6 linked regions of the Danio rerio genome follow. Each later gene encodes a partner of the first gene's protein in a complex. Links are inferred from orthologs where the notes say so. Each region holds a gene or a part of one and is shown on either strand. Other genes may lie near its edges. The genes, in order: lin54, lin52, mybl2b, tfdp1a, lin9 and rbl1.

Region 1 (5,457 bases):
ACTGAACCTTTAGTAACTGAACCTCTAAGAAATCTTTCTCAGACATCTTCGTGTTTTTAGTTTCAGATATTTTATTATTACTCTGAGCTCAACAGCCTCCTGATGAGATTTTATATATAGTAAGGATCAATAAAGATCTGCCTCCTTCACTCTTCCCTGCAGTAACTCTATAATATAATTAATTAATTCATTAATTTTTTTTCGGCTTAGTCCCTTCATTCATCAGGAGTTGCCACAGCGGAATGAACTGCCAACTTACCAAGCATATGTTTTACACAGCTGATGCCCTGTCAGCTGCAACCCAGTTCTGGCAAATATCTAAACACACTCGTTCACACTCATACACTATAGCCACACATATGTAATATAATATAATATAATATAATATAATATAATATAATATAATATAATATAATATAATATAATATAATATAATATAATATAATATAATATAATATAAAGGTGTCACGGGGGCACAGTTGACAGCACAATAGCCTTACAGCAAGTAGGTTGCTGGTTCGAGCCTTGGCTGGGTCAGTTGACATTTTTTGTGTGGAGTTTACATGTTCTCTCCGTGTTGGCGTGGGTTTTTTTTCGGGTGCTCCAGTTTCCCCCACAGTCCAAATACGTTCTGTGGGTGAATTGGTCGTGGTGTATGGGTGTGACTGCAAGAGTGTGTGGGTGTTTCCCAGTGTTGGGTTGCGGCTAAAGAGCATCTGCTGCGTAAAACATATGCTGGATAAGTTGGCGATTCATTCCGCTGTGGCCACCTTAGATTAATAAAACGTGAATGAATAATAAAAAATAAATGAATTCAATTCAATTCAATTCAGCTTTATTTGTATAGCGCTTTTACAATGTAGATTGTGTCAAAGCAGCTTCACATAAATGGTCATAGTAACTGGAACAGTGTGGTTCAGGTTTTAGTGTAATAGAAAATTTACAATAATATAATATAATATAATATAATATAATATAATATAATATAATATAATATAATATAATATAATATATAAAAATATATAAATAGATATGTGGCGCAGTGGGTAGCAAAATCGCCTTACAGCAAGAAAGTTGCTGGTTTGAGCCTCGGCTGGGTCAGTTCTAAAATAATTATCATAATATTCCAAGTAAAAATCCATTCTTTTGCTTTTTTATTGAAGAGTTGAATAATGAAAATTCAAATGAATTAGTTAATTAGAAAACTAATTTTAGACGCAAAATTCTAAAATTAATTAATTGTAATATGTATTAAAATTATTAATATAAACACTTTAAAGACACTTGAAGAGTGTTCTCTTACAATTCCCAAATTTGTAAACTTTTGTTGTTGTAAACATTTTGTAATGTACAAATAATTCATTTAAATAACTAAGAAAATTGTGCAATTCAGATAACGATTTAGATAAACAGGAAAAATAACAATTATGAACATCAGTAAAAATATATATTTTTAATTATGCGCAATGCAAAAATTACAGTCATGGTACATACAAAGAATAAAGTTAGAAGCAAAACAATAATATACAAAGGAGCTACATTCATAAAGCACTACTGGGATAATAATAAACAATTTAAAAACTTCAGTTGTTTTAACGTCATTTTTGTCACAGAATTAGAATTAGTCTTAAAATAATGTTGCATTTCAGTAGGAAAAATATAAAAGAAGAGTTTCTGGTTTGTAAATTTGCATTTGTGTATATGAAATATTAAGAATACAACAGTAAAAAATCTGCGCGGAAGTTGTGTTGTGACGTCATGTGTTGTTTCCTACGAAGGCGTGGTTTGATTATGGGATGTTAGAGGTGAAATGGCGCTCGGCGCGGTATTTTAAACAATCGTCTTCGTCTGAGAGCGGATGATCGACAGGATGCAGCCCCGAGTTGGACCGAGCAGGTCGTGATCGAGCAGAAAACGTTGTGGATTTCAGAAGAGCGTCTCGACACTCATCTCGACCCCGTGTAGGAGTGCTTTGGGCTCGGGTGGGTGTTCAGCGAGGGGCAATATGATCTCCGCTAGTTAGCAGAGCTGCTAACACTGTATGTATATATATGTGTGAGTGTGTATGTGCGCGTCAGCTGATGTCCGTCCGCGAACTGCCTCAACCGCGCGTCACACACACAGCTGCGCTCGCGAATAATCGCTGCTAATAATTGCTCATCTTCTGCAACATAGACAAAACTCATATGAAGCTTTATAAAGGGCTGATGCGTTGCAGGAGTTAATAGTGGCTAACTGATTAGCACCCTAGGCTTTACCTGCCAGAGAATGACAGCAAGCTGCGCCTGTCATTTTAGTCTTGCGGAGAGCTGTTGCTTAGCAAAATTATTAAATGTCTGTAAATATAGAGAGGTTTTCATTTCTTGTATGCGTGTAATAGTACATCTATTTGTATCATTAATTAAAACATCAGGAATTACATAGTTCAGATCATACGTTTTGTATGAATTAAGATGTATTTGGTAACACTTAACGGTTGCCAAATGTTTTATTTGTCAATATTAGATAACAAAATATTTTTGAGCAATTTCTTTATCTTTGTTAACGTAACGTCAACAAATACGACTTTTGCATTTGAACATGTATTAGTAAGTATCAAGGTTAAGTTGGGTTTTATATTCGTACACGTATAAATATGACTACGTTAACATTAGCATTAGTTTATTTGACTGTGGACATTGTTGTATTCTGATAGCCATCGTCTGCTAATATGGTTAAACTATTTGGAATTTGCAGAAAATAACTTTATGAAAGTCTGAATGTGTGAATATAAAACCAACTTTACCTTAATGCAAATGTCATCTAATGGAACTGAACTAGTATCATCAGTAATCATCAGTCCAACTGTATCATTACTAATTAAATAAGCAAACGACTATTATCTAAGGCTAATAAACGCTAAATAATGCAAGTTATTGCTCTTTAGCATTAACAAATAAAATACTTTTGTGGACCACACCTCTCACTAAATTGTTTGAGTGTACATAGATGTAATTGTACACTTTAGGATATATAAAGTGTAATAATAGCATGCGTTAAGATAAAGAGAACATTGTAATGAGTTTTACCCTTGTTCAAAACCTGCATGACTGACTTTTCTTCTTCTACAAAGAATGACGTCATTTTTCACGGAATAGAAAAATATGCATTGAGAGTGAATGGCAAGGATGTCATTCAGATTACCATCATGCTATGTTGTTCCAGTGAAGAAAAACCTATGAGGGTTTTGAACGAAAATTAACAATTAATATTTCTAAGTCTCAAAACGAATACAGTGACGGTCCTTTGTACTTCTAACTCATTCTTTAAGCTCAAACTCTGACAAAACAACAAATCCTGTTGTTTTTTCCTCTTGTCCTGCGACTGTTTCTGTTATGTCTGAACTGATGACGAGATGAAAATGGCGGATCTTTCGAAATCCAAGCCCGGCCTGAAATAGACACGCAGCCCGCTTAACTCCTTTTAACAGGACTCCGTTCTGGAGACAAACATCCCTATCTGCAAAAACTCTTGAATATACGCGTACACATGAATATTTTAATGGCATCAGTATAGACAGGAAAGCAGACGCGTCGAATACCAACAAACTCCGTCAGATGTGAAACTGACAGGCTTGTTTTTAACTGTTGAGGTAAATAATTATACACACATTTATATTCTCAGGCATGCACAAAGAGGCTTATTGTTGTTTAACTGTGTATAAAACCCGTGTAAAACTGGTAAAACGTTTAGCGATTAAACGCATACATAGAAGTGCATTTCTGAGTTGTGTTTTTAAACCACTATTTTGTGAAACGTTTTTTCCAGCCACTGTCATTGTTTACCGATTGATAGTTTTCTGAAGCAAACTCTGGCTAGTTCATGTTAGTTGTTGCGGCTGTTTTATGTATTACTGTGTGTTAACTGCTGGTTAGCCGCTGTGCTAGTTAGCCACATAGCAGCCGAACATAAACAGATCGCCTGCTCTGGATGCGACGCGACACAACTTGTCGCGTCGCTCGTGTTGAGCAGTGTTTACTAAATATTAGGAATTTGAGTGGTCTACTTGACTAGTTAACCAACTAGTAACGTTAGTGTTATGTGATATTGATGCTGATGTGAATTATATCATGAGACCTGTTATTCAGAGGGCAAAAAAGAAGTTATGTAGTTTAAATGCATGACTATTGTTATATTCTCCATATGTAATATTAACAAAATATCTATTTTAAGTGTAGTACATTTACAGTAAACAGAGTGGTGATGTTTAATATTACATCTCATAAACTGCAGTAGTGCTGAACTTTTTTTGAGGTTGCTATGGGTGTAAATGTTATTGATTCATTCTCAGATTGTGGTTATTTGAGGTAACATTGTAAATAATGGAATCAAGCAGTGTTTGTTAGACAAATAAACACCACTGATGATTTAAGATGCACAATGGTTGAAAATGCTTAATTTATTTTGTTATAATCACAGTTAATGCCACAGAACAAGGAAATGCATTTTTCTGTGAAGACAGAAAGAAGAAAATAAAAGTAAACTAAAGGTCTTTTTAAATGTATATTTACATTACAGTATTTTAAACCAAAATGAAAGTTAAATAATAATATAAAGAATGTTTGGATATTATTTTCCCGGCATTAAAGATCATTTTAAATCTGGAATTGATCATTCTTGAGTAATCGCATCCAAAATTTATAGTAAACATACATAAAATAAAAAAAAAATATGCAAATCAAATATTTAAAAATATATGTTTACATCATTTGTATTCTAAACATTTAACATACAAGTAAAGGCATGAAACAATAACTCAAATATACGGCTGCATGCATGTATTTAATATACACAGCGCACACTAAAGTAAAAATAGAATTATTTTAATAATGTTTTTAATCATGTGAATCATGTAATATTTCTGTATTTAGTTAAAACGTTTAAAAATTAGGCTTTTTAGTGATATACAATTTTTTAGTTTAACTCCTTTTTTATTGATGCATAATAGTCAGTTACAGTTTCAAAAATAATGAATCAGTCGCACCTCAGTTGTTCCAGTCTATCAACAGATAACAAAATTAGTTCACATTTTCTTCCTCTGAATCAAAAATATTATTATAAATTTTTGCATTAAAAACAATATTTAGGGCAAAATACAAATAAAAAATGTAAAATAATAATTATAATGAGATATATAGAATAATATTTTAAATAAAACTAACAGATATTGGGTTAGATTTTCTGTATTGGGCCATACAGAAAACATATAAATACAAATATATAAAATAGCCATATTTTCTTATAGGGTATGACAAACTGTTTGCATTAAACAAAAGTATGCATCACAAGTTTTCATCTTTGGAAAAAAAAACTTTGTCTTCAGAGAATGACTCTAGAGTAAAAAATAAATTACTTTTCAAAAGCCCAATAAATCTCATAAATTATTTTTTAGCATTTTAAAACAAAAAACTAGGAATA
Region 2 (5,543 bases), on another chromosome or scaffold:
GTTTTAAGTGTTTTCATAAAATGTTTTCAAAACTATTTCATTTGTTACATGTTGACATTTCCGTGTTGAAGGACAGCATTTAGTCTGATTTTAGGCTGTTGAAAATTTTTAAATAGTATTTTTGTATTGTATAAAATTACGATATTTTACAGTCATGTATTTTACATAAAAATCTGATGTTGTGCAACTGCTGTAGCTGGACTGAAATAAATTTATTAAAAAAACATTGAAGTGCCTTTCTAGTTTTGAAGATGCTGATGTATAAAGCATTAACCTTTTTGTTTGTATTTAAATCATTTCAGTTTGAGAATGTTTAATAGCATTTCTGTTTTAAAACTGTAATGTAATGAGCAGTCTTTCCTGAAAAGTTCAGTTGAGTTCGTGTTTGAATTGTTGATAAAAAAATTGTTTGCAATATTGTCTTTAAATTATTGTCTTAAATGCAAATTGTAAACAGACTGACTCAGGTGCATTTATTTGGATTTAGGTTGTGTTGCATTTGATACCAACACATTTTCTGGCTCAATTGACTGAAAATATATATGTTTTTCATTAATCACCAACATTGTAAGAGCTCTGTATTTATACTTGAATTTTACTTATTTAATTTTACTAATTATTTTATTTTTCCAAGTATAATAAAGTGACCTTCTGTCTTTTAGAGACATGATCTGTACAGAGGTGTTGATAGTTATTTCTTCAACCAGTTTTACAATACCATCCCTTTTTTAATGTCTTTTAAATGGGCCTTTTCGTATAATGCTATGTACAAAGCATTTGAAAATGGGTTGATCAAAGTAATAATGCTACAGTGAATGAATGATGTTTCTTTAGTGTTTTAAAATAAATAAAATGAACACTCTGTTAAAAATATTGATATGATACGTTAAAATGTGCTGAAACTAGACTTGTTTATGTTTACCAATAATTTTTATTTTTGGTCTATTTATAATTACTGCCTTTTTTGTAGCTGTACAGAAGTTTGTTCTGCTGTGTTTTTTGGCCTGACTGAGTCTTGAGTCTTATATTATATTAACACTATCATAATACTACTCAAGTACTCTGTATGAAAGCTAAACATATTAATGTTCGCATATTATTCATATATATTTTTACTTATTTTGCAAGAAAGAACGTTATCAAAGACACAGTTTAAACAAATAGACAGAAATGAATTCATAATTAAAATTCCAGCAAATTAAACAAGTTTAAATGATTTACACCAAGAAAGTGTTTTACATGCAATATAACTGTTAGGGTCTTTTAAAGAGTTCACATATAAAGTAATTTCTTAAAATAAAAAAGTAGGGTGTTTCTTTGAAAATTTACATTTATCGATGTAAATTTTAGGGGGGGGGAAACAATTAATTACAAATTTACAAGAATTCAGAAAGTATCTAAAGAATATAATTTTTTGTGGGAAATACAAAAGTTTGGAAATAATACAATTTTTGTGAAATTGGAAAAGTCAACCCAAATGACTTTACAATAAGTGCACTCCCAAAATAGGCCAAAAAGATTTAGTGTTTCACCATATTGAGTACAAAATGAGCATTTGAAGGAAATATTGTTATTAAATTTACCTAGTTTGTTGTTTATTGGGTAGCAATTATGAATGATTCTGATTGAGACTTCAACAGCTTTATTAGATAAAAATATGTATTTTTTCCGAATACCATCCAAGATCAATATCAAGAAAAGGCCATTAAAGACCATTAAAGAGATCAGAGAACTGTTAACAATAAAGAGAATCACTTTGTTTGACATAGAACTGAGAAGAGTTTGGTCAACAAAAAGGTTTGTGCTGTCAATAATATTTATATTCATATTTTTCAGTCAATTATTGCGACATCATTTTACAACATAAGAGGGTGTGGCTATTTTATCCAAGACCTCCAGTGATTGGCTGCTTAGAATCACGTGTGTTGTTGTCAAGATGGCGTCTCCGAATGGAGGTAAATTTTAATTCCTCTTTTCCCTGGCAGCGTTAGTTGTTAACGCAATAGTGCAACGGACTAATTAAGTCATATAAATCATTATGCGGTTTAGCATATTTTTTATAAAGAACTGATGGATTCTGAATCAAAATAAGCTTTTCAGTCGGAATAGCGTCATAAAATTGTTTGGAGCCAGTCATTAGCAAAGCTACGTGTCAGACGACATCAGTTGTGTAGTAATAATTTAATACGAATGTAATAGTGTAGTAAATACGCGAAGACATATTACTTTTGGTGTGTCGTGATTTTATCTTTAACGTTAGTTATGTAACTCATTATTTTGTGACAAGATTACTCAATGCAGCTAGCTCAGCTTTGAGTAACTTAGCAGCTGAGTAAACATAATATCTCTGTCATAACATCAGCTTAATTTTACACCTTGAATAATATGTGACAGAAGATTTTTTTTTGTAACGTCATCTAAGCTGAGTTATGTTAAAATTGAAATTGTGTATATTTAACATTTTTTATTGTACTTCAGGTTTATTGATCCTGTTGCTGATGAGTTTTCTCTGACCATAGAGCATTTATCTTTTTAATGTGTAGGTGAGGACTTTGAATCTTCTCTGATAAGTTTAGAAAATCTTGACCGGGCTTCACCTGACCTGTGGCCAGAGCAGTGTAAGTTTGACTCTCTAATCTTATTCAGTTGGACTAATATTTATGACACATTAACATATTTTTCCAAATATATGTAAAAAAAAATGCACTGATTGAAATATAGAAATTACATTTGATTATTACACATTGTCATATTTTTGAACGCTTTGTTTTTAACAGTGCCGGGTGTGTCAGAATTTGCAGCATCCTTTAAAAATGTGAGTAAATATTCAAATGATAATGAATACTTTTCAAAGTTGATGTGAAATTAAGGCTTGGTTTTTGTTATTTCAGCCTATTACAAATTCTCCACCCAAATGGATGGCTGAACTGGAGTCAGAGGATATTGAAATGTTGAAAGGTCTGCCTTTTTTAAAGTAGTATTCATATCAAGTCTTTTAATGTATCATTTAGTCTTTTATCTATGCTTTCTATATATTGCTTAGTAGAATAGGTTAATAATAGTTAGATGAGTTGCTTGGTGAATTCCAGGGTGTCCGCGCGGTCTTAAAAAGTCGTAAAATGTCTTAAACCTCAAAATTACATTTTTATGTCTTAAATTTACTGAAATATTGTGTTGTAGTTCCTAAATGTTAAATTAAATTTTTTTTAAATTAGGTCTTAATTTTCCTTTGTTTATGTATCGCTACGCAGTCTGGCCATTAGTCCTATACGATCACCAACAATTCATCTCAATAAAACCTTTTATATAAAAAGGTGATTTTTAACTCTGTTTACCATAACAGTTTTATTATTTTCCTCAAAATACATAATATTTGTTAAAAAGTGTTCCATGTATTTGCTGCTGAGGACACCGACCTGGACAGATTGTTTTGCATAGATTTAGTTATATTAAAACTTTAAAAACATTAATTCATTTTTTATTGTAAAGAAAGTTTATGTTGGAAAAATAAAGTGTATGTATACAAGTAGAGCTTGTTTGTTTTTAAACAATATTTGAATATTTTTATAAAAAATATCTAAAATATTTATTTTTTTATTATTAAATTATAATTGTATTATTAATATATAATCGTTTTTTGATGGGGCAAATGAAAAATCTTTTCCATCTGGGCCATATGAAAAATTCCTTAGCGATTAGTCCTTTATGAGTCTAAAATTTCATTCATAAGGGTCTTGAAAATGTCTTGAAGTCTTAAATTTAACTTTGTGAAACCTGCAGAAACCCTGGAATTTATAAAAGCTACAGTATAATATTTTGTTTCGGTTCTGGTCCATTTTTATTTTATTTTTTGTAACTTGTTTGTTGTGGCTTTTTTTTTTTTAGAATTAGGAAGTTTGACCACAGCAAATTTGATGGAAAAGGTGAAGGGTCTGCAGAATCTGGCTTACCAGTTGGGCTTGGAGGAGTGTAAGTAATGTCTTACTCAACTCAGAAATAGTGCATTAGTTCACACTGTTTATCTAGTTACGGTATATTGTAAGTCATCCACTAGATGGCGATATTAGAAAAAGAATAAAACTTACTGACAAACACAAACCCAGCTTTTAATACATAAAGACATTTTTCATGTTTTTTGCCGCTGTGATATTTAGGATAGAGTTAAAAAGACAATACAACAAATAATTCATTATATGTAGTCTGGAGCCTAAATCCATCTGAATCCTTGTGTGGAAAAAACACTTATTTGTTATGTTCTATTCGTTTATTTCAGTCTGTAAGTCTCAAATGAATTCCCACTCTATATTTAAACAGAACTGGCTTGTTGCCCAGTGTCTCTGTAATATTATATCACAGAATTGCTAGATGTAGCATTAATCCACGCAGGCAGGATTACAGGAAAGATAAGTGTTTCAGTTATTTTCTAGATGAAAATGGGCATCGAAACATCGCACAATTTGAAAGCGAGTACTGCAGACCATTGGTGAACACTCGTTTCAGATGTATTACATTCCTTCTGCTGATTTGACCTTTGTGTGGCATGTCCCTCAGAAAGCCCTCAACAAACTATGCTTCAATGAGAAAAATCAGTCAAATGCTTTTCTGTCTACTTGATTTTTACTCTACTATTTTGAATAATTTCCATAATGTTACAGAGAGAGGATAAAAAAAGCATCAGTTAATTTAAATAATTCAAAGATATGCATTTATATTGATTTAAAATTAAGCACATGAACCATTTTATTTGATAAAACTCTTACATGCACAACTGTTTCAATAACGTTAGTAGTTTTTAGATTTAGATTCATTCAGATTAACATTTTAATCTCCTCAAGCACTTGTAATATTACTATATTTGTGAATATGAAATTCACAAACTTAATAAAATGTATGATGAAACCGGTATCAATTGAATAATGGTTCTTATCATGGTAAACTGAGATCACATTATTATATTACTTCTCTTATAATTTCTTAGTTGTAAATATTACCTTTTTATTACTCAGCAGATATTTAAGGGACAGTATACGTTACATTTAATTTTTTTAGTTTCATATATGAGTAGCTTGAGTTTCTATATCCATCATGTCATATCTACAGCATTGTATCTGGGTTTAATAAGCCACATTTGGATGAAGCTTCCATGCTGCCTTTTATGCATACATTAATACAGTGTGTAATTATACATTTAGTCTGCTTGCATTTAATATCATTGCAAACCCACTTCAATCAAACTAGGTGTAATAAGTCAATCTAGATGTCTCCACCTCTAGTCATTGTGTCCTCTGCTTGTTGCTTGTTTAAATGCTCTCTAGGAAGGTAACACAATGCAAAATATTTGTTCATCTTAACATGAGTAAGAAAATGAATTTCACACAATGTTAAGCAATTCACAGTGCGTACATATTATACAGTGGGGAAAATAAGTATTGAATCTGTCACCAGAAAGCATATTTCTAAAGGTGTCAATGATGTTGGTAACAACCAAATAAATCCATACATGCAAATAAAACAAATCTAATTAGTTTACAAATTGAGTTATG
Region 3 (4,967 bases), on another chromosome or scaffold:
GAGATGCTCAATTGGGTTTAAGTCAGGGTTCTGGCTGGGCCATTTAAGAATGTGTTTTTCTGTCAGTATGGGGTGCTGTGTGTACAATAATCAGGGAAGAAGTGAAATAAAAGGGAAATAAGAAACATTTAAGGGGGTCTGAATACTTTCTGTACCCACTTTATGTTACTTGTCAAATAAAAGTCGTTGAATATTGATTAGGGAAAATTAAATGGCATCATTGAAGGTGATCATATTGTGTTTTTTTTTTATAATATATATTTTTTTTATCTTGTATCTCTTAAAATGTTGGAAAGTTAAATGGATCCAATCCTTGTTTAGTAAAACTACAGTAATCAACAGACAAGAATGGGTGGTGTTCAATAATTTTAGGCTATTTTTCTTCAACTTTTTAATCTAATTCAAATGTCGACTCCTATACTTTAGTGCTGTATGTAATTGACAGATATTGGCATCAGAACTGGAGGGACATTTATTTTCTTTTATTAAATCTGTATTGGTATCAGCCCAAATATTTTACTTTTGGTTCATCCTAAATCGATTTATATACCCTCATTTGTTGACAGGAACCTGAAGAGAAAGCCACTGCTCCTCCACAAAAAGCGTCATCTCCCAAAACCCCCAAAGCTTCAACGAGCCCCAAAAGTGAAGGCGGAGACTCCAACGTGTCCACGTGGGTGATGGACAGCTCTGGGTTTCTGTCTCCGTCAGCGGCTCCCACACTGAAGGAGGTGATGGAGCTGATGGACGGGGTGAGTCAAGCCTGATTTAGATCAGAAAATCACTATTAGAATTACAGCCGGTTGCAAAATGTGCATGTAATGTAGTCACAATAAGTAATATCAAATGATTGTGATGGGTGATGTTATGAAGCCACGTATTCGTATTTCTCAGTGACCGAAGTCGTCATAGTTGGTAAACTCAGAGCACAGTTAATGGGAGAGTACAACAAATCATTATTTTACAATTCTATTTGCTGAATTACTGAAATAAAAACTCCACGATGGTGTTATCAAGACGTTCAGAAAGAGGAAAACAATAGTGTGAGACTGATAACGGCAGCCAGAAGAGAGAATCATGTTGAATGTTGTTACTGTCCTGCCGCTATAGATTCTGCATTACCCCTACTGCTCATGCGAGGGATGCGTGTCACGATTTCGATTTTTAATTGAAATTTATGCTCAATTTCGATTATCGAATCAAAAAATAGAATCGTCGATGCTGCCACGCCCCCATGTCACATCAGATTGGCTTGCCAAGCGGGAAAAAAACAGGCTTGTTGAAGAGCTTGTTGAACTGCAGATACAGGAGACCCGTCGACAGAGCTTAAACCCTCTCCTCTTTCAATGAAGTCGCCGGTGTTTAAGCATTTTGGATTTCCAGTGAGTTATGTTGACAACGTTCGTGTTGTCAACAAAAAAAACACAGTTTTGCAAGCTCTGCTATGTACGTATTACGTACGGTTCGTCCGATAGACAACACCGGCATCGCGATCCTCCGCCCGCCCCCGTTGCAAATCCGCTGGCGAAAAGTTCACACTCAGGCCCTGTTTACACTGGCTTTGTTTTTAAATGGCATTTTAGAACAACAACGATTTGACATCCACAGTGGCGTGTAGCATTTCTGAGCAGCCCTCCTTCCTCTCTACCTCTGAAAATGCACATCACGTGACCACACAGACGCACACGCAGCCATGCGCTCGAGACTGCAGGTCCAGGCAGTCAGAGGACTGCTTCAATCTTTCACTCACTTGTACTCAGTCATTTTAGCGAACACCTCAGATACTGTTGGCTGGTTCCTGTTGGTTGTGCGTCTTTTTTACCGACGCCATTATAACGACACAGATCACTGCCTATTCACGAGTCCCGCAGAAAAAGTGATTGACAGGTGGTAATTATGTGTGTATCTTGCCTTTATTCATTTACTGTATGATTTGTTTATGGGTAAAACAAAGACCATGCAGGTCAGGTAGTTTAAACGGTAGGCTACCAATAATTAATTGGTCATTAATTAATTATTCATAATCGAAAATCGAATCGAATCGTGACTTTAGAATCGAAAATGTAATCGAATCGAATATTTGGAGGATCGTGACACCCTTAATGAGCTGTAATTCGTTTTTTGCAATTGAATACAAAGATGATACTATACATATAAATGTTCCCGTTTAAAAAAAAAAAAGTAAAAACTTTCAAGGATTTAGGATGCCGATGAGCGTCTTGTGAAAAGGGTCTAATGCAAGTGCACACACTGCAAAATCGATGCGTAAATGATATATTGTGCAGCCCTACTTCATGGGACTATTAAGTGTGTGTTGGACTGATCAGAGTGTGTGTGTGCGCAGGATCTGGAGGGCTGGTGTACCATGTCGGACTTCGACCTGCCGGAGGAGAGCCAGAGCTCGGAGCTGCTGCAGTTTCGTCTGGAGGGCAGTGCACTGCAGGAGCTCAGCAAGGGCAGTAAAGGAGAGCTGATCCCCATCTCGCCCGGCGGAGCCACTCCTCCATCCATCCTGAGTCGCCGCAGCCGTCGACGCATCGCCCTCTCGCCAGACCCCAATGACTCTATGACCCCAAAGAGCACGCCGGTCAAGATCCTGCCCTTTTCCCCCTCACAGGTGGGAAAACGCAACACAACACTAGCCATGTTTCCATCCAAAGATGCAAATTAAATGTATGCGCAAAACTGGAGTATGGCATAAAAGATTTAAGAATAAAGCAGCGTTTCCATCCAACGAGTCTAAGATAACAAAATCATCACTTCCTCATAAACTGCCGCCAAATATCAAAAGAAAAACAGAAGTTACAGTGTTGGGCTTTTTTTTCAGGGTTCCCACTGGTCCTTAATAAGTCTTAAAATGTCTTAAATTAAAATCCGGGAAATTAAGGTCTTAAATTGTCTTAAATTTTACCGTAAAGTGGCTGTAGATATTAAACTTTCAGCCGGTGTGCTTAATGACAATAGGGAAGCACAGTGGTCCACGGTAAAACATCTAATAGTTGATTAATTCAGCACTTGTAAAACTACAAAGTATAGACGCTTGCGTTGGTCTGCACCTGCGTGCTGTTATTATGCAGTTGTTGATGTGTCAATGCAAAGATGGGAAATTGTACATTTAACAACGTGGCAAAGAGGCAATGTGTAAATTCTGCAAAAAGACTTTTTCGTTAGGGACCATGGGGCTCAAAGTCGTCGAGTTGCACATGAAAGGAGGAAAGCAGCAGCGGGACGTTGCAGCAGCTAGTCATAGCAGGTCCAGGTTAATCCCTGCATTGTTTGCAGCTCGACCTAACAAAGTTACTAGTTACTAATGTTAGGCCTATAGCCAATGTTATGAATAAGTAATGTTAACCCATATAAACGACTCATTCATGAAAAAAGACAAAAGAGCTGTGTGCCTGTGCACATTTGGATAATGTCGGACTCCAAACAGGTTTGGGCTTTTAAAAGCTGTCAATCAAAATGTACCTGTGGGGTTCGGGCTCTATCGGGCCTAACTTTTATATCATGATTACAGCTCTAGTTCAGACGCCCCTTCACAGTCAGCTATAACAGTTTTATTTCACCACCAGACACCCAAAAGGCTGGTACTGCGGGTTATCCATACTGTGACGAGGCACAATTTATTTAAATCTAACGAGAACATTAAAATGAGTAGCTTATTCCAAAGAGATTATACAATTTTTGGGTCTTATATTATATTTGTTGAGGTCTTTAAAAATGTCTTAAAAAGCATTAAATTGTACTTTTAAAATAGTGCAAGAACCCTGTTTTTGTATATAATAATTTACTTCCGTCTTAGAACACGTAGACGAAACCCACTGAGCGCAGTAATGTTATCTTGCTTTTGGAGGCAGGATATCATCTTCAGATATCATCTCTATCATCACTGCTTTTTCGTATTTAACATTTAAAACCTTTCAGAGCTCATCATCCACCTAAACATACATGCCACTTTCCGCCATTTTTATCATCACATGATCTGTTGAAACAAAATCACATGAATTTTTTTTGTGTGCTGGAATTTATTCGTTTCCATTGTAGTTAATGCAGATTTTTTTATATCAGATAAAGTTTATCCTTCTCGGTTGTGTGCAGAATCTTTTTATGCAATGTATGCACATCTTGGCTTTTTCATTCAGTTTTTTTTTTGCGATTAATCCAAAGAGTGCATTAAAAATAGGTGGATGGACACACAGTGGCGCCCCCTGAGAAACTTTTCTTAGGGGTGGCCAAGTAAGACCACACCAAATCTTGGGATGGCTCACAAAAAAAAAAAATAATGAGTTGTGTATGTACTGTGAATGAGTAATGTTATATTTTTGTTTCTGGTAAATTAAATAATGAAGTTTTAATTAATTCCATTAAATACTCTTGTAACATTGTAATTTATTCCTTGAAATAATTCAGCAAGTACACGAGCAAACCAAATAATTATCAATATTTAGTTTAAAGACACCTTTCAGGCAAGTTATTTTTTACATGCTTTTATTGCACAACATACAGTATATGCCATGTCTAAAATTAATGGATATTAATGAAATAATTAATAAAACAAACCAGCAAAATAATGGAGCTGCTAAATAAACTAAATATTTATTTAATTAACTAAATAAACAATTTTTTTATTTAATTTCTGGTTTTCAATCGGATAAAACAAATGCATTTCAATAATAATCATTTCTTAATAAAAAGTGTGCAATATCAGTGAATCAGCTACGCTGATCAATCCACAATATTTAGTGGCTGCATTTTATTTATTTATTGAAATATTGTGAATTTGCGTACATATATTTTAATTAATAATATCAACAACTAAATCATATTGGGTGGTCAAATATTAATGTTGCATCACTGCTTAATATGGCTGTCAGATCATTGAAACTGTAATCTTTTATTTATTTTTTTGACACTATGTAATTTTGAAGAAGGTAATGATTCGCACTCAATTGCTTCGTACTGTTTTT
Region 4 (4,967 bases), on another chromosome or scaffold:
ACCTTGTATCATGATGCTATTATATTGTCATTTTGGCATTATATAAAGCATAAAATGGTCTTAAAATGACAATAATATCCTTTATCGCAATATATTTTGATGTATTATATCATACAACAAAAAATAGATATGACAGGCCTAATCTAATATGATTAAAATAGCTACTTTTTCTTCTAAATCTATTCCAATACCGAACAACAGAAAAATGTGCAAAAGAAACTCACCCTCCTACATGATAGCGGCCACCTCCATTTGCAGATGAAGCCCCCGTCATGTAGACATTACTGATAGGTCCCTGTGCCATTTCTGCATGTAGAAGTCACCATCAATTGAAACATTTGATTTCTGCTGAAACTAAACTTTTGTATCAGATATAGTATCAACTGATGTGGTGACCAGTGGCTCTCACCTGTGACATAAGGCTCCAGGGCTTTGGGCACCAAGCTCCTAGCAGTCTTCAGGTCTTCAGCAGAGCACTTGCCCACCTCAAGACCACAAGCCATGCCCATGCGCTTCAATACCTCAATGTCATCGTGAATCTCAAACATGCTATCAAAGTTGAAGAGGTACTCAAACCTAACCACAAAAGGAAGCAATGAGTGAAGTGCATGAAGTGAAGATCTTCGAGATTTAATTCATCCCACAAATAAGAATGTGCAATATTTATAATCTACAATCATAATTGTTTTAATCATGAGCTGATGATATAGAAAGTTGCCAACTTGGAAAAAAATATATATATAAAAAAACAAGTCTTCATAAAGTCGGAAAAAATGCTGAATTAAAATTTGCATGGCCCTGTAATCCAAACAACTGTGATATTGCTTGTGTTGGGAAGCAAAAATTGCTTTACATTCTGGAATAGAATACTTAAGGATAGCACTCGACTTCGCTGATTGATTCATATACGCACAATACTTTTTTACTTTGTGATCTGTCAGGACTTAACATGTTAATTTAATCACTAGTATGGAAGCAATAGAGAAAAAAATGAAATAAGCATTTGACTATGGATTCTAATATACATTAAGACAATTTCTTCTTCTATGTATCACAAAACCTATTATGAGCTTTAAAGAGATAGTTCATCCAAAAATATTCTGAAAAAAGTTGTAAACCTGTAACTATTGACACAAAGATATCTTAAGGAATGCGGACATCCTGTAACCACTGATCTTCAGAATATCTTCATATTCATCAGAATATCTTCATATTCAACAGAATAAAGGAGTTTATAAAGGTTTAAAATAAATTAAAGGGTATGAAAACATTAAATAAAATTATTCTTGGGTGAACTAACCCATTAAATACAATTTAAATGTGCAAAAATTAACATTGGCTAGTGAACAGTACCAGCAAACCATTAACCTTTGATCTACATTGAGCTATGCAGCATACAGCAACTGCACCAGTAACACTGCACTAAACTTTATGCACAAGTTTTACTTCTGTCATGCTGCTTATTTGAGTGCATGACAGCTTGAAGTTAATTCATCTCAAACTGGGAATCAGCAAGAATCTGGGCTGAAAGTGATCAAATTCAAATGATCCCCCAAGTCTATATAAAAAAAACTTTTAACATAAATAATTTCATCAATGAATGGGTTACATTTCCGATGACAATATTGTTGTTTTTTATATGCTTTTTATATATGAAATGTAACTATGAATGCTAAAAAGGCATGTTCTAAATAATAATAATTTATGTGGTATGAATAAAGCATAAAAACGAACATTTTATCATGTAATTTGAACTAGAAACATCATTTGTGCTGTTTTTTTTCCATTCATAAATGTTGCCATTCTTGGTATGGTAAAGCTTAAGAACCATGCTTGAGTATCTCCCCACAAGTAGTAGGTCATCAGTATCAGTTTGTGGAGTAATGTGAATTTGGACATATTAAATACAATCTTTTCGCCAACTATAGAGTAGCAAAACATGCAATCTTGAAAACTATACATGCTTTAAACTAATCGTCTGAACAAGTGAGTCAATTATTCACCTACTGAAAGGTTTAGAGTAATTTTCCTTTATACATGGCCAAAAACTATGACAAAAAAAAAACAAAACAAACAAACATCAAGACATATTTTCTCCCCAATATCGCACACCCTTATCCACCTACAATCTACATGGCTTGACTTGAAGTCATACTTGTCATTGGAAATGCTGCAGTCAATGACTGTTTTCTTGCTGGTGTTGACGATAATAAATGGCAGGTGAATGACTGAGTTGGCAGGTGGGGGCCTTTTTGTCTGTTGTTCTCTCTGGCGGTTTCTCTGTACAAGGTTCTTAAAAGCAATTTGCTGCAATTAAAACAGTGTGTTAGTCAAGTTCATCAACATAAAATAATTCTTACAAAACAAAAGACTAATTTCTGACCTGTAATATAAGTTCTTGAAGTTGTGACTGTTTTTGTTTGATTCTCTCCAAACGTCTTTGCCTCTCCACCTTTAAAAATACCAAACATTCAGTTTAAGTACAATTAGTTTAAACTCTAATTGCCTGTACTTTCTCTAACTGTCTTAAAGGAAGGGACATAAACTTTAGTGAAAAAGTACCAGTACACCCACCTCCAGGTTCTGGCACTCCTGAGCAGAGTTTGTGGGCAGACCAATCCATTTGATCTCCTTTTTCTCTTTGGAAATTATGTTCATGGCCATCAGCACATTGAGAGCATCGTACACACGCCGTCGAATGTTCTTCTGGTCATACACATGCTGAAAAAAGCAGAAACCAAAAGCGTTGGTTTATTTATCATGTTATATATGTTAAGAAGCAAGTCTTTAATTGGTTTTAAAAGCTTCACTTCTGCACTCAACGAGAAATGCTCTGAATCAATGTCTGGCCGCAGGGGAAGGCTCACCGCATCATTAGGAGAGATATGATTATCACCAGAGCTGAACTCGGCCACAAGCTCATCAGCAACCTCGTTGTAAGTTGTGACACCCTTCCGCTGGACCTTCTCGCAAACCTTCATGGAAAAATGTCTGAGGCCTTTCCCATTCTTCTCCCCCTTCTTACCCCTTTTTCTGAAGAACAACAGATCCAACAGCAAATTATTGATATTTTTTAATTATAACTGCTGATAGAGAAAAGAGAGCAAAGCAAGAGTTTATTTTAAAAAAAAATCCAAAGTACTTATACAATGTACAAGGTGAAGTAAAAATATTCTGCCTTAAAAAAAATATATGAAAGTATGTCATAACTCGACGACTCCATTAGCAAAATCATTATTAACTTTAGTGGTAATTCACAAAATACAAACTGGCACTAGATCACAAAACCAGTCATAACTGTCAATTATTAACATTAATTATCATTAACATTTTTGAAACCTCACCAGAAAGTTGTCTAAAAATTGCTTTCCATTGATGTTTGGTTTGTTAGGATAGGGCAATATTTCGCTGACATAAAGCTATTTGAAATTATGAAAACCAACAGTTCAAAGAAAATCTAAATACTGTGAAAAATCTTGTCTAAATAATGAGGTCAGCAATGCATATTACTAAACTTAGTTTTGTATTTGATATATTTACAATGAGAAATTTACTAAATTTAAAACACTTACAGCTGTGCGAATAATCGAAATCAAACCACGATTTAGAACGTTGGAATCAACTAAATCGCAACAGGCTGAGATTCATTCAATCATTTTCTTGTCAGCTTAGTCCCTTTATTAATCCGGGGTCGCCACAGCGGAATGAACCGCCAACTTATCCAGCAAGTTTTTACGCAACGGATGCCCTTCCAGCCACAACCCATCTCTGGGAAACATCCACACACACACACTCATACACTACGGACAATTTAGCCTACCCAATTCACCTGTACCGCATGTGTTCGGACTGTGGGGGAAACCGGAGCACCCAGAGGAAACCCACGCGAAGGCAGGGAGAACATGCAAACTCCACACAGAAACGCCAACTGAGCCGAAGTTCGAACCAGCGACCCAGCGACCTTCTTGCTGTGAGGTAACAGCACTAACTACTGCCCCACCGCCTCGAGAGGCTGAGATATGAAATTGAAATTAAATGTATCAATAGAATTTCCCCCACTGTTACGTATTTTCTTAAAAAAATTAAATAATACTATAGAAATAATAATAATATAAATAAATATCCCAAGTAGTGTTTTTTTGTTTGTAATTGTGTGTTTTCTCTCCGCCTCTTTCTCCGAATAGGTTTCATTATTACCGCACAGGTGTTGTGAAGCAGGTGCCAGCATGTGGAGGCCGGCTAGTTGGTGAGGACCATTTAAACCGGACTGGAATGTCGTTCGGAGAGTCTCCTCTCTCTCGCCTTGTGTTGTGAAGTAGAAACTTTGTATTTTACTCGGATAAATAGTTGAAAGTGAATGCTGATTGTTGACTCTGAGATCTATGCGGAGACACGTGTGCTGAGGAGGGTGCCTTTTTGTTTTATTACATTTTCCTCATATTTTGTGGTTAGTAAGGAAGTAAGAGAATGTTATTTTATTTGTCTTATTTCATGTGCAGGTAAGAGGGTTAAAAACTTAGTTAGCTGTTCAGTTTTTTTTTTTGGCATTAACCTCCGCAAGCTTTTTATTGTCTCCTTTTTGAAGTTGAACATCAAATAAATTTGACTATATGTTATTTCCTTGGTCATTTGTCTTTGTTGTTGTTTTTACTTTTGAACTGGAGATGAGACTGCAGGCTCCTAATTAATTTAGAAGAGTTCTAATTATTTTTATTTAATATTATTTATTGTTACGGGTTTGGCTTGCTGTGTGGAGCCAAGCAAGATTGGAATTCGTAACACCCACCCAGAGCAAATGTGTGACTGCTGTCTGTGTGTTACAGTCTTATGATACAATTAAGTGAGCACGCTTGTGTTCTGACCAATCAGAATTATGCGACTGAACTGTGGAAGCCCATAATAAAACAAACAAACAGGAAAACGTGGAACAGTGGGATGATGCTTCAGAAGTATTAATAGATTAATTC
Region 5 (5,693 bases), on another chromosome or scaffold:
GTTTCTCAGGTTAACCTGAAATACCTGCTGAAGATCCGCTTCAACTATCAGACGTCTCTGTGGTGAGACGCCGGTTAGATCTGGAGAGGTTTTTGGATGCCACTGAATCCCCCTGTTACAGCTTTAGCATCAAGAACCAAACAGCACATGGGTTTAGAAATGATTAAATCCGTTCTCTTGCGCTTTGGCAGCACATTCCCCATTGCTCTAGTCTGTTAGTTTGGAGTACTTTAAGTGGTTCTACCCAAATCACAAACTGCATTGTTGCAAATGTGGCCACCTTTCTACAAGCAACATGATTGGACTTCTCTGTGAAATGTTTCTTTATAAGCTACCAACAGTGGATAGGTAGACTGTCTTCCATATGTTTCATAGGCCTTTTCTTTCTTTTAATAGTTTTGCTAAACCTGGATTCAGGTTACTTGTAACACATGTAGTGTTTACGGTTTTGTTCGGCCTCTCGATTTAAAACAAATAAGAATGTACAGTTTTAGGAAAAAAATGTTGTAAGCTAGGATATAGCCTGCTGCAAGCGAGTAATCTTTTACTAGAATTGCCAATGTATGAACAAGTATTTTGTATGTTAAACATGTACCAACCTAGTTTTGCTTTTTTGAGTTTACTGTCCCTTATTGAAACGTACTTGGGCCATTTGAAATGGCTATCAAAATCTAAGCTGCTGTACTCACGCACCTGTAATAAGTTTTGTTGTTGTTTTTGGCAAACATTTCTCCACAGTATTTGTGGACAAAATAAGTTTCCCAAAAAATGTCTTTGCATCAAAAATAAAACGGTTTTTGGCTTATTATTGTGCTTGAAGCTGTTTTATTTTCGGGGGGTGGTATTTGATTGCAAAAATGTCCTAATACAACTAAATACAAGTAAATAAAATCATACTAAAAAAATTTAATAAAATCAGGGTTTACCACTTTTGATAAATAAAATTCACTACAATAACCTTTTTTGGTCAAAAAATATAATAAAATATTTTTTTTTAATGTGTTTTTTATTATTAAATATTTATTCCAATCATTCAAAACTGAGGGACAGATGAGTTTTCGCATTGATCCCAGGGGCCAGCCTGATCACCCGCTAGTGACCTACACCTGCAGCTTCTCTGCGATGGACATCCAGCGTTCTCAAGCCCCGGTACCTAGCATGCAGCTCTGCACAAGAAGTTTGGCCAGAGGAGAAATAGTCATGCTCAACTGAGCCTGGTTTCTCTCAAGATTATTTTCCTTCACTTTCATCAATTGGTGAAGTTTGGTTTCTCGCCACTGGCTTGCTTGATTTGGGACTTGCGGAGATATGGATCAATGGATTTGCTCTTTAGTGTTTGGACTTTCAGCAGTGAAAAATTTAACCACACTGAGCTGAACTGAACTTCTACTCTGAAAACTGGACTGACACATTTTTAATTCACTAGAACTTCTACATTAAGCTGCTTTGATACAATGCACATCATAAAAGTGCTATAGAAATAAACAAGTTTTCAGCATTAGCATACTTCTGTGTTCGAAGTCACATGATTTTCCTTAAACTATTGTAATTCTGCTAATTTGAATTGAGATTATTTTTTCATAATATTGATGACATTTGAACTGTATGGTATTTTGTGGAATCTTGTGTATTTCAGGATCCCTTGATGAATGGGAATGTCAAAAGAACAGCATTTAGTTTAACTCAGATGACTCAATTTTGTTGAACAAACGTTGATGGGAAAATAAAATGTTAATAATATACTAATTTGTAGTGAAATGTGTACAAACACATGCTAAATGAACATGATTATTATATAATACTTGTTTTAAAATGTTAAATGCAGTACAATTAGTTTGTCATTCTGCAACTTGGCGTTTGTTTAATAAAATTGTAGTTAGTGTAAATATGTAATGCATCTAAAATATTTAATACATAAATATACAGTTTACACCTTGTTTATGTTCTTTTTGTTTGTTTGTTGGTGATCCTGAGATCCTTTAACGGGCCCTGTGTCTCATAGGAGTCACTGAACCACAGCTGAAGCCTGGTCCCGACGACATCTTTTAACTTGTTTTGTACGGCTTGGAACTACAAGAAACTTTCTCAAATGAATCTAATTTACCTCATGGGTCGTAATTTGTTTTTAAGAATCATATTTATGTACAGCAAACACATTTAATGTAAAATGTTTTGTTAGTTAGCGAGCGCTGTGGTGTGTTTGAACTGCCCTCTCTGTCCCACAATGCATCTCGGCACTCGGCCTTTGAAAAACCGGCGCGGCTAATTCAAGATGGCGGAGCTCGAGCAGCTGTTAGACGAGAGTGAGTAATAAAACTAACTCCTCGCTAAACCTTGAAAAATCCCCCTCTGAGTGTTTGTGCGGTTTAAAACGTTTCATAAGGCGTGCTATTCGCCGTACATTTCACGTGTCTTTCATTGTTTTGACTGGTGTTAAAATAGACGCAAAGTTATTAGCGCTGAGGCTAACAAGCTAACAGTTAGCTTTCAAAGCCTACTACTATAAATAAATATCGCACCTGAAGAGTTTTTCGCCTTAAAGTTTCGTTATGGTGCTTTGTTTATAATCAAAATTAATTTAATTACTGGTTTGCGGTTTCGCAGTGGTTATACTATGAAAAGGGTTTAACTTTTATACATTTACAGGGTCGTAACTCGATGACAGCTGCTGGGTTTTGTTGTTCTTGTCAGTGTCAGTTTATTTGTGTACTAAAACACTGTCCGTATGATAAACACATACTTTTAATATGCTGAAACACTCTTCAGGTGTGAAAATGCGCTCTTTGTATGATGCAGTACTTGTGTCTGGATAATTCTCATTCATCACAATAATTCACAGTGATTTTTTTCTTTCGGTCTTACCGAAAGCTTTGTTTTGATTGTATTAATAGGGATAATTGCGTAATCCGTCGTCTGTTATCTTGCTTGATAATTATTACTTTTAATATTTGAGCAGCTTATAATTGCAGAAAGATTATTATTTATTTCTAGCTTTGCTTTATTTAAAGTATCAAAACAATAAAAACATATTACAGCTTTTTTCACTGAACAATAAAACGTCCTGCTAAATTTTAAGCATAAAAAAGGCTATCATACATTTTTACAAGGATTATCAGAAGTAAACCACTAAAATCTTATTGGTGTAACAATAGTTTATCTCATCAGGCTTAGATCAAGAATCATATGATGTCATTATTCAAGAACAATTTAAGAATGGCTGTGCAGCTCTTTTAAATACTAATTTTCATTTTAAATCTTTATATTTTTAGTTTTATTTTATTTCAAACCACATTGTTTGATCAACAGAAGGTTCAAAACATTCTACAATGAAATGAAATTAAGTTTAATAGCACATCATTTTATGAGTACAGGTCAGAATGTTGTGTTAAATTTAATAAAATGTAAAAAGGGCATTAATAAAAAAGGGCATTATTTCCAGCTGCAACCCATCACTGGGAAGCACCCATACACACTCATTCACACACATACACTACGAACAATTCAAGGTCACCCAATTCACCTATAGCGCATGTCTTCGGAGTTGTAGGGTAAAACGGAGCACCCGGAGGAAACCCACGCGAACACTGGGAGAACATGCAAACTCCACACAGAAATGCCAACTGATCCAGCCAAGGCTCGAACCAGCAACCTTTTTGCTGTGAGGCCTATTTTTCATTTTAAATCTTTATATTGTAACTTTTTAATTTCAAACCACATTTTTTTTGTCAACAGAAAGTTTAAAATAATCTAAAATTAAATGAAATTAAGTTTGATAGCACATAATTTTATAAGTACCGGTCAGAATGTAGTATGATATTTAATTAGAACTTAAAAATGCCTCTTAAAGTAGACCATTATTTCAACCATATTTTGATATTTTATTACTTAAGTTATTTAAAGCATTAAAGTCAATGCTTTTCTTCTATTTATATAAGTCAGTTAGGGTTGTTTTATTTTTACAATAAGTAGTGTTGTAAAAACTGACAGTCGTATTCTTTTTTTAAATCTTCTTTTAGTAGAATTTTTCTTACAGTAGTCAAAGTCAGCTTTGTTGTCAATTCAACCACATGTACAGGACATATAGAGAATTAATATTGCGTTACTCTCAGACCCCTGGTGCCTAACATATAATATTTATACAAAAAGTATAATTTTAGAAAGAAAATACAATAAATACAATTGCTCATTTAAAATCTGAAAATATAAGTAAAAATAAAAATTTGTAAACAACACAATTACACTTAAGGGCACATGAGTTGTGCAGATGCAAAACAGTATACTGTGCAAAAAGTATGTATAATAAAAAACATAATAATACAATACAAGATGTTTTTATAAAGCAATTTAAAAACAACCAATGTTGTCAAAAGTGCTGTATATAGGATTACTAAAGACAGAGATGAGAATAAAGTGGAAATTGAAACAATTAATAAATAAAAGCAATAAAAAGCATCAAGGAGTATTAAAAAATATAGATAGGAGCAATTGCAAATGCTTGATCACCTCGTTTTGTTAAAGCATGTTTATGAAGTTGATCATCTAACATCACTAAGTTAAAAATAAAAACATTTCAAGCTTTCCTATTTCTGGGTTGCAGCTGAAAGGGCATCCAGTTTGTAAAACATATGCCGGAATAGTTGGCGGTTCATTCCGCTGTGGCGACCCCTGATAAATAAGGGAGTAAACCGAAGGAAAATAAATAAATGAATAAAAGAAGCGTAAATTCTTTTGTTTTTTGTTGTTGTTTTTTTTTAAAGCAACTTTAAATGTAAAACACAAGTGTAACCACCACTTTATATTGCCTTGGGGCTGAACTATTGTAATACCATGCACTAAAACCACCTTTAATCTGCCTGATAATCGGACTTTACTTCAGTGTTGCATTAATTGATTTTCAAGATTTGTTTTTGTTTGGACTTCTTAATCATATGTTGCTTTTGAAACTGTAATGTATTGTAATATATCAAACTCTTTGTTCTCTTCGCCTTCAGGCTCTTCAGCTAAAGCCCTTGTTAGTTTAAGAGGTACGTTTTTGTTTTTAACACTCACAACTTCAGTAATAGACATTATCACAGAATGCCTTCTAACATTTCCCAATGTTATTATGCTCTTCTACAGAAGGAAGCTTGTCTAATACTCTAAATGAGAAGAATAATTTACCGAAATCTCAGACCACAAGGGGACGGAGCAGTTACGTTTCTATGGAAACAGTAAGTTGCTGTAAATTACTTATAATTTTGCTGCAACTCCAGGTTTGCTTGTAGTAGTAGCAGTTTTACATCTAAGATTGTCTTTTGTGCTGTGATTATTTTGTGCTGTGATTACTGTGTTTGTTTACTGCATTTAAATATCAATCAAATTACAGCTGCTTGATTATGGGAAAAAAATCATAATTATTTTGATCATAATTGTAATCACAATTATGTAAAACAATATATATATATATAGTTGAAGTTAGAATTATTAGCCCCCGTGTTTATTTTTTTTCCCCCAATTTCGGTTTAGCGGAGAGATTTTTTCCAACACATTTCTAAACATAATAGTTTTAGTAACTAATTTCTAATAACTGATTTATTTTATCTTTGCCATGATGACAGTAAATAATATTTGACTAGATATTTTTCAAGACACTTCTATACAGCTTAAAGTGACATTTAAAGGCTTAACTAGGCTAATTAGGTTAACTAGGCAGG
Region 6 (4,967 bases), on another chromosome or scaffold:
AAGGTCACCTTTTATTCATCTCAGAAAATATGTTTGCTTGACTGATTGAGAAGACAGACAAAATTACAAGTGAATCCATTGATTGCATTAAATATATTTGAGTGTTTTAAAGCATGCCTGTGTTGTTTTGATTTACACTCTTCAGCGATTCTGAATTTAGTGTCTTTCCCTCACCGTAATATTGCATTGTGTTTGCTTTGTGTCTGAAAAAACAGGTAAACACTTCACTGAACATCTGTTTTTCACCTTTCTGTAGGCCTGCCGAAAGACACAGAAAACCTGAAAGAGATGCCCTGTGTCATTGACAAGTTGTGTGAACTGCATGATGGGTTGGTGGTGGAGGCCAAAGGCATAAAGGAGCACTACTTCAAGCCCTACATAAAGACCCTGTTTGAGAAAAGAGTGAGGAATATATACGCACTTTGACACCCAAAACAAAAACAGCACAATTCCATATATGACTGCATGCTTTGTAGAAAAAAAATTTAATTACAGTTTTTCTTTTCAAAATGACGATTTGCGATTACTTCTGTTTCATAAAAGAACTACAGTTTAATGTGGTGGTTTTAGCAGAGCCACAGAAATACTAAACATAATTAAAAAAAAAACTACAGTATCCTAAATTAAATAAATTAAATATAAAATTTTAAACTTTAAAGAATTTAAACAATGTAAACAATTGTACATCATTAAAACACTGGTGATAACTAGGGCCAGACAGAATTTGTTGATGTTTTTTGGCTATTTCTGCTGAGAACTTTGTAAAAAAATTTGTGGATTTATGCAGAATTATTTTGAGAGTATCATAACTAAAAACATTAAAAAAAACATAAAAAAAATAATATATATATTTTTTTTTTCATTTTCAAAGTCCTTTTATTCCTTTTATACAGAGGAATGAACTGCCAACTTATCCGGCATATGTTTTACGCAGCGGATGCCCTTCCAACTGCAACCCATTACTGGGAAACATCCATACACACATACTCTGCGGACAATTTTTATCCCAATTTACCTATAGCGCATGTCTTTGGACTGTGGTGGAAACCGGAGCACCCGGAGGAAACCTACGCGATCAATGGGAGAACATGCAAACTCCACACAGAAACGCCAGCTGACCTAGCTGAGACTCAGCAACCTTCTTTCTGTGAGGTGATCATGCTACCCATAGCGCCATCGTGCAGCCCATATATATATATATATATATATATATATATATATATATATATTTTTTTTTTTTTAATATAATTAATTGAATTATAAATGCGCGGTAAGAGTCGTGCACGTAATATATTCAGATATCATAGCTGATCTGTGATAAATGCCGTTGTGGAAAGTCACTCTACAGACACACTCGTGTCAGGGTTAACAAGTATCCCTTTAATAGCGATAGAGGAAAGGAAATTTATGTACTGTCATCATTGCAAAGATAAAATAAATCAGTTATTGGAAATGAGTTAAAACTTTTTTGTTTTAAAATGTTTTGAAAAAAAATCTCTCCAAAATTTGGTGAAAAATAAATGGGGACTAAAATTTCAGGGGGGCTAATAATTCTAATTTCAGCTCTCTCTCTCTCTATATATATATATATATATATATATATATATATATATATATATATATGTATATGTATATACCTTTTAACTTTTATTTAATGTTTACAATGCAAATCCAATATGATCCACTTATTTGTTAAACAGAAAGTCGCTCATATAGTATACTAAATACACAAAATATAACTTTACAAACTGTTTTGTAACTAAATTATATGAACATTTTCATGTTAGTCAATAATATTAATGAAATGAATGTTTATTTAGTTTTTAAACTTAATTTACTTACATTTACACTATGAATTGACTGAATGATGGGCTAAAAAATCTGCGGAAATCTGCAGATTTCTGCATGTGCAGATTTCGTGTGGACCTAGCGATAACCTACATTACTGTGGACAACCTATATAACAACGACAGCAAATGTTTTTGCCTTTTAAACTGCAAAGAACATGAATTCTAAACCAAAGGGTCAACAAGAAAAGCTGCACTTCTAGATTATGTTACTTTTTTACATTGTTCAGGGTAATGTGCTTACCAACTGTCAGAACTGTCAAAAATTTTATGTTTCTTATTTATTAGTGCATTGAAATAAACACTGCTTTTGGGATTTGAAATTTTTATTTTTTTATATAGTGATTTCGTTTTAGAAATGTCTAATTGTGCAGGCCTAATTCTATATTTATAGCTTTTGTTTTACCTCCTTATATTCCCAGATGTTAAAAGGTGATGTTGAAACTCTGACTGAATTACTGGACACTCCAAATTTCCAAGATAACAAGTACGCACATTCAATTTCTGAACACATTGCTTTTCCATGCAAAACGTTGTATGCAATTAAATGCTTTTGAAAACATTTTTGTCTTTTCAGTAAAGCCATAAATCGTGATTATGAGGAGTTTGTTTTGACTGTGGGGGATTTTGATGAGCGAGTGTTTTTGGGGGCTGATGCAGACGAGGAGATCGGCACACCGCGCAAATCCACCGCTGAACCTCCTTCAGGTCATCTCTCTGCCCGCATGCAGGTGGAGAACAACCTTCAGCAGCACTTTGAGAAGGTATGAAGAAAAGTAGTTAGATTAACAGTCACTGTAATTACAGTATTTATTAGGGGTGTGATGAGATGCTTACTCCAGGAGACAAGATTGGTTTCAAGAGAACAAAACAAGATTTTGGCAGTATTTTAAAGAAATCTTGAATGATAAAATATATGAATGGAAAATAGTCTTTTATTCAACTGAAAAAAAATCACAAAATGCAAAACCATATAGGTGCTTTTTTAAATCAACTTGTAATGAATGTTATTTTAATGACTTCTGTGCAGTAAAGGACATGCCAACACTGCAAAATATGTTGCTAATATTTGAATGGAGAGTAGTCTTTTTATACATGACTATTTAGGTGCTTTTTAAAGGTGCTGTATGTAAGTTTTTGACTTTTCTAAAGCATAAAAATACCATAATATGTTTGCAGGTATTTAAGAAACATGCTAAGTGAACATAATTGTTTATCTGAAAAACAATGAATTCAGATATTCTACTTTAAAATTGTGAGTTACGTGCAGGATTGTCTGTCTTTGTTTTGTTCATTTATCCCGCCCAATGCCAGTTTAGCCAAATATATTTCAGCACCCTGGGTTGCTTTAGCGCAAAACCATGTTTTTCATTCATTTATTTATTCATTCAATCTGGAAGCCTCAATACCCATGACAAGCTCAGAACTACTGGATACAATTATAAATTAAGTACTGATAGGAGAGAGTTGTTTTAAAGTGACTTGATACCGCATGAATGAAAAGATAACTTCTTTTCCCGGACAGTATAAAGCTGTGTTCGCTGATGATGCGACAAGCCTCTAGGAGTTCCCCGTTTGTGTGTGCGCACAGAGATGTGTGTGTCTGGTCCTTTAGTGACTCAGTAGATGGAGGGAATTAATGTTAAAGTTCATTTAAAGTTAGAGAATTTAAAGTTAGAGTTAAACAGCTGTGTATGCATGGCTTATTCTGTTGCAAAATGCAGCTAAAAGTCCTACACGATGGTAATAGTTTAATCAAGGTGTTGACATGTCTGTACTGCACAGCAGTAATGTGACTGAAATAGGAATACTTTACGGCTTAACATGTCAGCTGTAGCCTCTGCTCAGACCGCAACCTTCGATGGAAAAAAAAAAAAAAGGTTACGTCACACCCGCCCAAGCAAATGAGTGACACGCAACATCGAGGCAGCCCTGGTTGCCAGGTGTGTGCAAAGCACTTGAATTGCGGTTCATATCCAAACCTGCCTCCAATCTTCAATGCTAATTTCACCCTCACGCTCCATCATAACATAACTCACGAGACAACTTAACACCTCTACGAGAAATCTTAACGGGATTTAATCTTGTGATACCACGTGATATGGGACCTCATTACACCCCTACTATATATATATATATATATATATATATATATATTTGCATCTTCTTCCTGTTTGTGTGCAGACGCGTTCCCTTGCTCCCTCTACTCCTCTAACGGGTCGACGGTATTTAAAGGAGAAGGAAGTGCTGGTCACGCCTGTTTCTTCAGCCACCCAAAGTGTGAGTCGACTGCAAAGCATGGTGTCTGGTCTCCGAAACGCACCGAGCGACGCTCTGCTTCAGATATTTATGTAAGTGTTTGCTAAAACCAAAACATGCACTTATAGTTTTAGATTTGGTTTTCTTGCATTCCTTTTTTTAAACTTGTTTTTGTGTCAGATGTGGACACAAATGTGTATTATGACACAGGAGACTGTGAATTATGAGGACATTGCTGATGTTTACATTTTTCAAAAGGTTTAGAAATCATACAGAATGAGCTTTTTCAGAAAGTAAAACTGCACATTTTTTTTGTAAAGCGTGGGGTTGGGGAAGTGCCATCTCAAATACAGTTTGTACAGTATAAAAACAATAGAAACCTATGGAATATCCCCACAATTCACAATAATAAACCTTTACGTCTATTTAACCATTCTTCATTTTCTGTTCAAATAGTTCCTGTTCTCGAAACCCCACTGAATCCATTCTGAATCGGGTGAAAACCTTGGGGGAAAAGTTCAAACAGGCCTACACTAATCCCACAGATGACCTGCCGGGAGCACATATGGGTCAGATTTACTGCCGTCTAAAATGATTGGTCATTATGAAAGCATTATGTGTGATCATGTAAATAAGTGCAGGCTCTTGTGTGTAGACTTTGCAGAGAAACGTCTGAAGCTGGCCGAGATCTTGTACTTTAAGATCCTGGAGAATGTAATGACTCAAGAGATGAAGAGATTACAAGGCAAAGACTGGGCAGTAAGTCACATTATTAATATTATATTTGATATATGCTTGATGCATGTGATAAATGTGTTTGTAAATGTAGCTTTTCCACTTCTGCTTTTTTTTTTTTTTTCT

Evidence for each region.
Region 2: lin54 (region 1) and lin52 share a complex: the UniProt entries of both Homo sapiens proteins name them as parts of the DREAM complex. The link is inferred for Danio rerio from reciprocal best matches to the Homo sapiens genes LIN54 and LIN52.
Region 3: lin54 (region 1) and mybl2b share a complex: the UniProt entries of both Homo sapiens proteins name them as parts of the DREAM complex. The link is inferred for Danio rerio from reciprocal best matches to the Homo sapiens genes LIN54 and MYBL2.
Region 4: lin54 (region 1) and tfdp1a share a complex: the UniProt entries of both Homo sapiens proteins name them as parts of the DREAM complex. The link is inferred for Danio rerio from reciprocal best matches to the Homo sapiens genes LIN54 and TFDP1.
Region 5: lin54 (region 1) and lin9 share a complex: the UniProt entries of both Homo sapiens proteins name them as parts of the DREAM complex. The link is inferred for Danio rerio from reciprocal best matches to the Homo sapiens genes LIN54 and LIN9.
Region 6: lin54 (region 1) and rbl1 share a complex: the UniProt entries of both Homo sapiens proteins name them as parts of the DREAM complex. The link is inferred for Danio rerio from reciprocal best matches to the Homo sapiens genes LIN54 and RBL1.

The regions. Positions count from the first base shown.
Region 1 is NC_133185.1:12,007,965-12,013,421, reverse strand, and holds the start of lin54 (protein lin-54 homolog), read left to right. Parts: upstream 1-1,780; 5' UTR 1,781-2,039; exon of another isoform or gene 2,040-3,631; intron 3,632-5,457. UniProt on the Homo sapiens protein: Component of the DREAM complex, a multiprotein complex that can both act as a transcription activator or repressor depending on the context. In G0 phase, the complex binds to more than 800 promoters and is required for repression of E2F target genes.
Region 2 is NC_133192.1:33,275,622-33,281,164, reverse strand, and holds the start of lin52 (protein lin-52 homolog), read left to right. Parts: upstream 1-1,924; 5' UTR 1,925-1,936; coding exon 1,937-1,955; intron 1,956-2,543; coding exon 2,544-2,618; intron 2,619-2,777; coding exon 2,778-2,815; intron 2,816-2,891; coding exon 2,892-2,958; intron 2,959-3,885; coding exon 3,886-3,969; intron 3,970-5,543.
Region 3 is NC_133186.1:1,639,502-1,644,468, forward strand, and holds part of mybl2b (v-myb avian myeloblastosis viral oncogene homolog-like 2b), read left to right. Parts: intron 1-566; coding exon 567-752; intron 753-2,344; coding exon 2,345-2,617; exon of another isoform or gene 2,618-3,038; intron 3,039-3,099; exon of another isoform or gene 3,100-4,385; intron 4,386-4,967. UniProt on the Homo sapiens protein: Transcription factor involved in the regulation of cell survival, proliferation, and differentiation. Transactivates the expression of the CLU gene.
Region 4 is NC_133184.1:36,652,633-36,657,599, reverse strand, and holds part of tfdp1a (transcription factor Dp-1a), read right to left. Parts: exon of another isoform or gene 4,315-4,967; coding exon of another isoform or gene 4,185-4,314; intron 3,034-4,184; coding exon 2,868-3,033; intron 2,722-2,867; coding exon 2,575-2,721; intron 2,453-2,574; coding exon 2,384-2,452; intron 2,308-2,383; coding exon 2,156-2,307; intron 577-2,155; coding exon 410-576; intron 307-409; coding exon 225-306; intron 1-224. Other genes in the region: mettl21cb (S-adenosylmethionine-dependent methyltransferase domain-containing protein), read left to right, coding at 4,185-4,314. UniProt on the Homo sapiens protein: Can stimulate E2F-dependent transcription.
Region 5 is NC_133195.1:46,994,317-47,000,009, forward strand, and holds the start of lin9 (protein lin-9 homolog), read left to right. Parts: upstream 1-2,234; 5' UTR 2,235-2,272; coding exon 2,273-2,303; intron 2,304-4,991; coding exon 4,992-5,024; intron 5,025-5,118; coding exon 5,119-5,210; intron 5,211-5,693. Other genes in the region: parp1 (poly [ADP-ribose] polymerase 1), read left to right, coding at 1-66. UniProt on the Homo sapiens protein: Acts as a tumor suppressor. Inhibits DNA synthesis. Its ability to inhibit oncogenic transformation is mediated through its association with RB1. Plays a role in the expression of genes required for the G1/S transition.
Region 6 is NC_133181.1:54,212,234-54,217,200, reverse strand, and holds part of rbl1 (retinoblastoma-like protein 1), read left to right. Parts: intron 1-256; coding exon 257-402; intron 403-2,269; coding exon 2,270-2,334; intron 2,335-2,424; coding exon 2,425-2,611; intron 2,612-4,031; coding exon 4,032-4,198; intron 4,199-4,562; coding exon 4,563-4,675; intron 4,676-4,761; coding exon 4,762-4,865; intron 4,866-4,967. UniProt on the Homo sapiens protein: Key regulator of entry into cell division. Directly involved in heterochromatin formation by maintaining overall chromatin structure and, in particular, that of constitutive heterochromatin by stabilizing histone methylation.